Linked DNA regions of Saccharomyces cerevisiae S288C. Changing the gene in region 1 together with any one later gene gives a genetic interaction. Each region holds a gene or a part of one and is shown on either strand. Other genes may lie near its edges.

The links. A genetic interaction does not mean that the proteins touch.
Region 2: of LMO1 (region 1) and AUR1, a mutation in one rescues a mutant of the other (synthetic rescue), as found in Saccharomyces cerevisiae (2 studies listed by BioGRID, with this or other methods).

Annotation. Positions count from the first base shown.
Region 1 is NC_001144.5:133,798-138,020, reverse strand, and holds LMO1 (Lmo1p), read left to right. Parts: upstream 1-1,721; coding exon 1,722-3,719; downstream 3,720-4,223. Other genes in the region: SPO75 (Spo75p), read left to right, coding at 1-81; ERMES complex subunit MMM1, read right to left, coding at 155-1,435; YLL006W-A (uncharacterized protein), read right to left, coding at 1,500-1,676; DRS1 (putative ATP-dependent RNA helicase), read right to left, coding at 4,034-4,223. UniProt on the Saccharomyces cerevisiae protein: Forms a transiant heterodimeric complex with DCK1, that acts as a guanine nucleotide exchange factor (GEF) for the small GTPase RHO5. DCK1, LMO1 and RHO5 relocate to mitochondria upon oxidative stress and trigger cell death.
Region 2 is NC_001143.9:433,707-437,340, forward strand, and holds AUR1 (inositol phosphorylceramide synthase), read left to right. Parts: upstream 1-1,873; coding exon 1,874-3,079; downstream 3,080-3,634. Other genes in the region: BYE1 (Bye1p), read right to left, coding at 1-1,171; mitochondrial 37S ribosomal protein bS6m MRP17, read right to left, coding at 3,391-3,634. UniProt on the Saccharomyces cerevisiae protein: Catalytic component of the inositol phosphorylceramide synthase which catalyzes the addition of a phosphorylinositol group onto ceramide to form inositol phosphorylceramide, an essential step in sphingolipid biosynthesis.

The DNA.
Region 1 (4,223 bases):
TATCACCTGAAATTCGATCTTAATATGTATTCAATGAATTTATTTGGTGATTGTCACTTGGAGAATAGCCACTTGCACTAACCAAAACTGGAACACCAAAAATGAGGCAGAGAAGATAGGAAAAAGATAGAACAAAAAATTTGTACATAAATATTTATAACTCTGTAGGCTTTTCTTCTCTCGTATTTTTACTACGTGGCCACATACTTGGTAACCTGACAAATTGGAATCTTGGTTCAACGCATCGTTCAACGAACCATTTTTTTATTTGGTATTCAATGACACTGCCGATCTTGGGAATATTTTCAAGTTTAGACCGTGAGCCAATTAGCGACTTGATTTCAAATTCCATTCTATATTCAGGAGAAAAAGAAAACATCAAAAAGTATCCTGAATTGCCCTCCATACCGTTTTCACTACTGCTACCGTTCGAAGTAGAAGCAAACTCCTCTGCATTAGTTAAAGATACGGTCAAACACGCCTGAAACCTCACAATTGACACTACTAGATTTATGGGGAGTGCGGCAATACCAGGCTTTGGATAGTTAAGTAATAGTTTTGTTTCTACTCCTAAAGTTAAGTGGTCATTTAAATCTATATCAATTTTAGCCTCTAGCTTTTTATTTCCTGAATTTGGCGAATATTGTATTCTGCAATTCGAGAAAATGGGGAAATCATCACCTGTATCCAGTTCAGTTATTTTTATGGTATCCAAATATTCAGGCAGATCGGGTGATTTTCTTCCAATAAAATCATTCAAGGAATGAAGGATATTGTCCCTGTGCCAAGCCTCACTGCGGAATTGCTGTATTATTTGGGCAACTAAAACGTTGAACCAGTCCAATGACTCTGCAGGGTGCACGTCGACATTATAATAGGTTTTCTCTAAAATAAGAGCTAGTTCTTGAAGATGTTCATTTTCTGCCTCTTCATTGAGCTCGTAGTGTTGTTTAGCACCCTTCCTAACAAGAGAAGTCAGGAATTCGCGAGATATAAAGGGATATTCTTTAAATTTTGATCTGTGACGGGAGGCTGCAGGTTTCGGATTCTTACTTTTAGATGGCTCATCACTGAATATAAAGAACTTTAGGAAAAAGATGAACAACAACACTATGCTTAGCTGTCCTACAAAAAACCCTTGAGCAAACGACCATCCAGAAAATTTGGAGGACGTTGCTAACGATCCTAACGAAGAAGGATGCAACACGCTTTGCATTTGCAAAGCTTGAATTGCATCATCGAGACCTTTGAAGCTCCCGTTTTTACTGACATTAAACTCTGAGTTGTTTGAAGTTTGCTTTAAGTCATTAGTAGTAGAACCCTTCAAATTCTCCATGATTAGTCTCTGTAAATGTTCAGGTAGCTCTTTGCTTATATAATCGTCAAACGTCATTAACGAATCCGTTTCGGTGGATTCATTCTCACTATCAGTCATTTTCAGAAAAAGGCTACAGGTATTATATTGACTCTCTCAAAGTTCTTTCATCTCATTGAGAAAATTATGAGGGGCACTTATTGTTGTAGATGATCTTTATTGGATGTTGACGGTTCTTCGGAATTGAAACGGATAGGCAGAAAGTGAAAAAATAAACTATTAAGGAAATACATGAAAAGAAGTAAACTGAAATGTATACAAGGGCAACCCGTTCCACGTTGGATTGACTCAATTGTGTCATCAGTAGGAAAATAGATTAAAGTAACCTCAAATAACGGCATAAGCAATGAAGCATAACAGGCAGATGCCAGATGAAAGCTTGGAAAACATAAAAGTGCTACTGAATCCTAAATTAGGAAAGCCAGTCAAGTCACTTACGAGTGCACAATCAAAAGCTTGCTATCATACGCTGATCAGTAATAAAAATTTGAACAAGACAAGTGATGAATACGAAAAGTTATTGGCAAACTATATCCTCCTTTGTGATGAAAAATACCTATGTAAAACCGTAATTCCAGATTCCCGATTTTGGGCTATATTGTGTGATAATTGCCAAAAGCTAAGGTCAGAAACGTTGGTAGCAAATCTCATTAGGATTTTTAATGTAGCCCTTAAATGCCAAGATTCTAATAAGAATGAAGTTATTGTGAGCATCTGCCACATCTCCAGAGAGAACTCTCAGCTCATTGGAATACTTTTACAACTTTTGTCCCAAAGACCTATTCATATACCGTTGTTTACGGACACTATACTATGCATAACCCTATTTTTAAAATGCTCACTTACATTATGTGAGACATCACTATCACACGCCGTAGAATTTGTACCCAGAATCCTCATTTTGCTATTTCAGTATAACTTTCCAGCTTCCATGTCTGAATTACTTTACATAGAAGACTTGCAACCACTAATCCTTGAAGAATTTGTACCGTTAAAGCAGAGGCTAATAAATTTTCTATCTTCGGTTAGTATTGATGATTATTCCTGTTCGCTTAAAGCTGATCTTCTTACAGCCATCAAAGATAACTCCGTATTCCAAAAAGGGTTAGAAATGGAAATGGGCGATCTTCCCAGTATAAATTTATTAAATGCGTATGATACATTCACATTCTTAAACAGTCCTAATGGGTCTTTCAAGAGACTTTACACTGAACAATTGTTGTTTGGCGAGAACGATTTCCCTCTTTATGAAGCAATATTTAAACTTTCAGACCAATTTAGAAGACTTTTCAATCTAAGTGGGAAAAAAGAGAACCAATACTCAGACTCAGAGCGTGATTTAAAATTACAAATTGCTACCGCTGTTCTCAATCGACAAACATGTTTTTACAAAACACTCGAGTTGTTTTTGAGATTTTGGATAGAATCATTAGCAAAATCGCAAAGTGATTTGGTTTCACTGTTAAATTTAGCTATTATCACTTTAAAATATGTTTGTTTGTCATCCAGTGATTTGGAAGCAGCAATACAGACGAAATCCCTTCTCAAGACCCAAGTTGTTGCACTTGACTCTATGAGATATAAATTTGCAAGAACATTACAATTAGACTCAATCAAAAAAGAACAGTATCGAACCTGGTCATCTAGTATCGCTAGCTTCGATACCATGCTATCAGGCCAGGTTCGTGATTACGTTCGTCATCAAAGACTTCTTCAATTGCAAAAGGGAACGTGGGTTTACGCAGAGAACCCACTGAATCCTGAAGCTGGCACGCCTAAAGTCTACTTCCTCATAGTTTCAGATAACCACGCAAATTTATTAGCCAGAGAATTCGAAACACAAACAAACGATTTACCTTATCTATTCGACAATAAAATTTTAACAAGTCCAGGTTCTGAGGCATTAGCTAATGGCAGAACAAAAGTTGTTGTTTTGAAACATATAACCTCTTTCAAAAGCATAGAACTTACTACACCGAGTCGTCGGACGAGCAGTAATGTTTACATCAAATTAGATGAAGCCAATGTGTACACTGGAGTTGAATTAAAAGATCGTAACGACAGGACAGTTTTGAAATTTTATTTAGACACAGAAGAGGGAAGATATATATGGCTAGACGGATTGAAATTGATATCTCCATTCCAGCATGAAGATATATCAGAAGACACGAAAGAACAAATAGACACTTTATTTGATTTGAGGAAAAATGTTCAGATGATAAATTTGAACGTTCGTCAGGACATCATAGTGCCTCCACCTGAACCAAGCGACGAGGACGAAGATGAAGAATTTTATAACTTGGAAACGTTAAAGAAAGTAACCCAAAATTTTTATTTTGATTAAGATACAAATTTGTCGTCAGACGATTTTTTTTTATTTATAACTTTTTTTTACTAGAATGGAATGTAATTTTGTAATTCTTTCCCGCAAGTAGCTTGAGTCTCCATTCAGTTCGTTTGTACTTGAAAAATCCTTTTAATATAGCATATAGCTTGCAGTTTATTAATACTCACTTCTACAGATTCAACAAAAAAAAAGGAATTTTTGACTAATCCCCTGTTTATTAGATGAATTAATGATATTTAAATACAAAGTATTAATAATATAATGACAGTGATAAGTATGTTGATATTTTATGATAATGACGATGAAAATTATTACCTACGGCTTTTGAAGCCCTTCTTCTTATTTGAATTTGTACTCTTCTGCTTTTTAAAAGTTCTTTCTTGATCTGCAATACGGTCGGTTTTGGTTTTTCTATAAGAACGTGCACCATTGCCATCTGCCTTAGCTTCTTCACGCTTTCTCTTTTTGCTGTTAGTGACTTTCTTGTTCCTTGATAAAGCA
Region 2 (3,634 bases), on another chromosome or scaffold:
CTTGAGGTTCAGCGATATCTTCGATCAGCTCATCACCCTTGTGGGTCTTAACGTACATGGGTTTGTCAGGTACCTCCACGATAAAATTTTCTAAGATAATCTTATCCCTTTTCTCTTTAAATTCTTGTAAGTCAGGATTTGCGAGTTCAGATGCGTTCATGTTCACCAGTTTATTTAAAGGCAATTTGCCCTCGACAACGTGTGCCTTCAGTTCCAAATTTTTTTTATCCTTTAAATTAGAGTATAACGACCTCACTTTCTCTGTGTATATCTTGTCCAAAGTACCAAACTCGACGTTAAGGCAAGCTTTGTAAAGTTCTTCTTCCAGATTGTGCGCAAACTCTTGCGATATCGATATAACGTCTTTCCCATCAGGAAGCTCATAAAGTTTTGCCTCAATTGTTTCGGGAACGATGAATTTGCTAAATAAGGTAGAGAACATTTTTTCTGCATTATACCTCAGTTTGTGTTCTTTTTCGCTTTCAAAATCTTTCCTAGTAGGCATTTCGTTTTCGGCAGTATCAGACTTGGCGGCATCAATGCTTTTATTCCTTTTTTTTGACCCATTGGATTTCTTCACCTGTTTGGATTTGATATGAATTCCTTTGGCACTATCGGGGCTCCTTTTTCGTTTCCTAGGGCTTTCCTCATCAAGAAAGACATCTGCATCATTGTCATCATGGTCATTTACGGGCTTGTAAACATCATCATGGTAATCTTCATCCTCTGAAACCTCTGCCTCCTTTGACGTTTCCAAATGTGCATACAATGATGGGTCGCACAATTCACAGTAGTACTTAGAATCTTCACTCATTAGCCCATCTATGGTGTCTTTACCATCAGTCATACATTTAATATGCTGCCAAGTGTCACAGCCATCGCACTGTACCATGTCGCCATGCGAATATTCTGCAGCATCGTAGTTTTCATTGTTCGCCCCACACAGACATCTAACATAGCCCTCATCCGCTTCGTCTACTTCGTCTGTTCTTACATTTTCAGTATCTTTCCTTGGCTCCTGAGAAGAATCAGACTTCTTATTCTTCTCTATGGCTGAATCAACTTTCTTTTTAGTTCTTTTTTTCTTTGGTGCTTCAGTCTCCTCCTGTAACAAATACTCAATATATTTATTCTGACCCTTATTAGATCTTGAAGAAGTACGGACAGACATAATAAATTTAAACTAAATAAAAGCTAAAAGTAAAAGAGAACCTAGGATAATCGATAGCTCCCTGTGTATAGAACAAGTCAAAATACTAAGATCTCGTCAACCTATCCTCTTTCATTGCAAGCCTTTTGGCCAAACTGCAGTCTGGGCATCCCTTTGCATGTCTTGTGAAATAGTATCCATCTCTCCCCAGCTCCCAGAAATGATATGAAAAGTTATTCGTGAAGAGTGATCCTAAAACTGAAAAAAGGAAAAAACAAAAATGAGCTAAAAAAACCACAACAAAAGAATATCAACTTCATTGCTTGGCGGGTCATCGCTTTTTTATTTCTTTCTGTCAAAGAATAATAAAGTGCCCATCAGTGTTCATATTTGTTACAAAGTGGTTTTCTGATTTGGTACTACTGCAGAGGCGTATTTTTTGCTTCAGTTACCATAGCGTAAGAACACTAGCGACTTTTGTTCGTGAACCAACAGAGTAGGATTTCTACTGCTACATCTCTTAGGTAGTTGGTTAGTCCGATCGCTCACTTTTGGTTGTTGTTAAGTACTTCATAAGTTTATCCTTTTCCTTTTTCACACTGAGCTACTTTGGGTATAGCTTTTGGCCCAAGGATCTTTGAATTTTCTCCAAAAGTACTTTATTTTATATCCTACAGGTTGCGGTTTTCATATTTTAAAAAGCTTTTAATCATTCCTTTGCGTATGGCAAACCCTTTTTCGAGATGGTTTCTATCAGAGAGACCTCCAAACTGCCATGTAGCCGATTTAGAAACAAGTTTAGATCCCCATCAAACGTTGTTGAAGGTGCAAAAATACAAACCCGCTTTAAGCGACTGGGTGCATTACATCTTCTTGGGATCCATCATGCTGTTTGTGTTCATTACTAATCCCGCACCTTGGATCTTCAAGATCCTTTTTTATTGTTTCTTGGGCACTTTATTCATCATTCCAGCTACGTCACAGTTTTTCTTCAATGCCTTGCCCATCCTAACATGGGTGGCGCTGTATTTCACTTCATCGTACTTTCCAGATGACCGCAGGCCTCCTATTACTGTCAAAGTGTTACCAGCGGTGGAAACAATTTTATACGGCGACAATTTAAGTGATATTCTTGCAACATCGACGAATTCCTTTTTGGACATTTTAGCATGGTTACCGTACGGACTATTTCATTTTGGGGCCCCATTTGTCGTTGCTGCCATCTTATTCGTATTTGGTCCACCAACTGTTTTGCAAGGTTATGCTTTTGCATTTGGTTATATGAACCTGTTTGGTGTTATCATGCAAAATGTCTTTCCAGCCGCTCCCCCATGGTATAAAATTCTCTATGGATTGCAATCAGCCAACTATGATATGCATGGCTCGCCTGGTGGATTAGCTAGAATTGATAAGCTACTCGGTATTAATATGTATACTACAGCTTTTTCAAATTCCTCCGTCATTTTCGGTGCTTTTCCTTCACTGCATTCCGGGTGTGCTACTATGGAAGCCCTGTTTTTCTGTTATTGTTTTCCAAAATTGAAGCCCTTGTTTATTGCTTATGTTTGCTGGTTATGGTGGTCAACTATGTATCTGACACACCATTATTTTGTAGACCTTATGGCAGGTTCTGTGCTGTCATACGTTATTTTCCAGTACACAAAGTACACACATTTACCAATTGTAGATACATCTCTTTTTTGCAGATGGTCATACACTTCAATTGAGAAATACGATATATCAAAGAGTGATCCATTGGCTGCAGATTCAAACGATATCGAAAGTGTCCCTTTGTCCAACTTGGAACTTGACTTTGATCTTAATATGACTGATGAACCCAGTGTAAGCCCTTCGTTATTTGATGGATCTACTTCTGTTTCTCGTTCGTCCGCCACGTCTATAACGTCACTAGGTGTAAAGAGGGCTTAATGAGTATTTTATCTGCAATTACGGATACGGTTGGTCTTATGTAGATACATATAAATATATATCTTTTTCTTTCTTTTTCTTAGTCAGGATTGTCGTTTAGCATAATATACATGTAGTTTATTTAATCACATACCACTGATTATCTTTAGAATTTTATAAATTTTTGAAATAAATGGGTGGCTTTTAATGGTGTCTATGTTAAGTGAGGCTTTTAGAATGCTCTTCCTGCTTTGTTTATTATATGTGTATGAAAGATATGTATGTATTTACATGTGTTTGTAGCGTCCCCAGTCAAAACCTGTGCGCTATACCTAAATGGATTGATAATCTTCATTCACTAATTCTAAAATAGACTTCTTCCCCAAAGAACGGTGTAACGATGAGGCTCTATCCAGCTGCTTATCTAAATCAACTTTAACGATGGATGATCTTATGACACGGGGATCTTTCTTTAAAGTTCTTAGAATTTCAGACTGTACCGCAGCTGATGAATCAAACAGCATTAAAAAGTGATATGCTCGAAAATGTTTTTCCTGGTCTTTCTTCATTATTTTA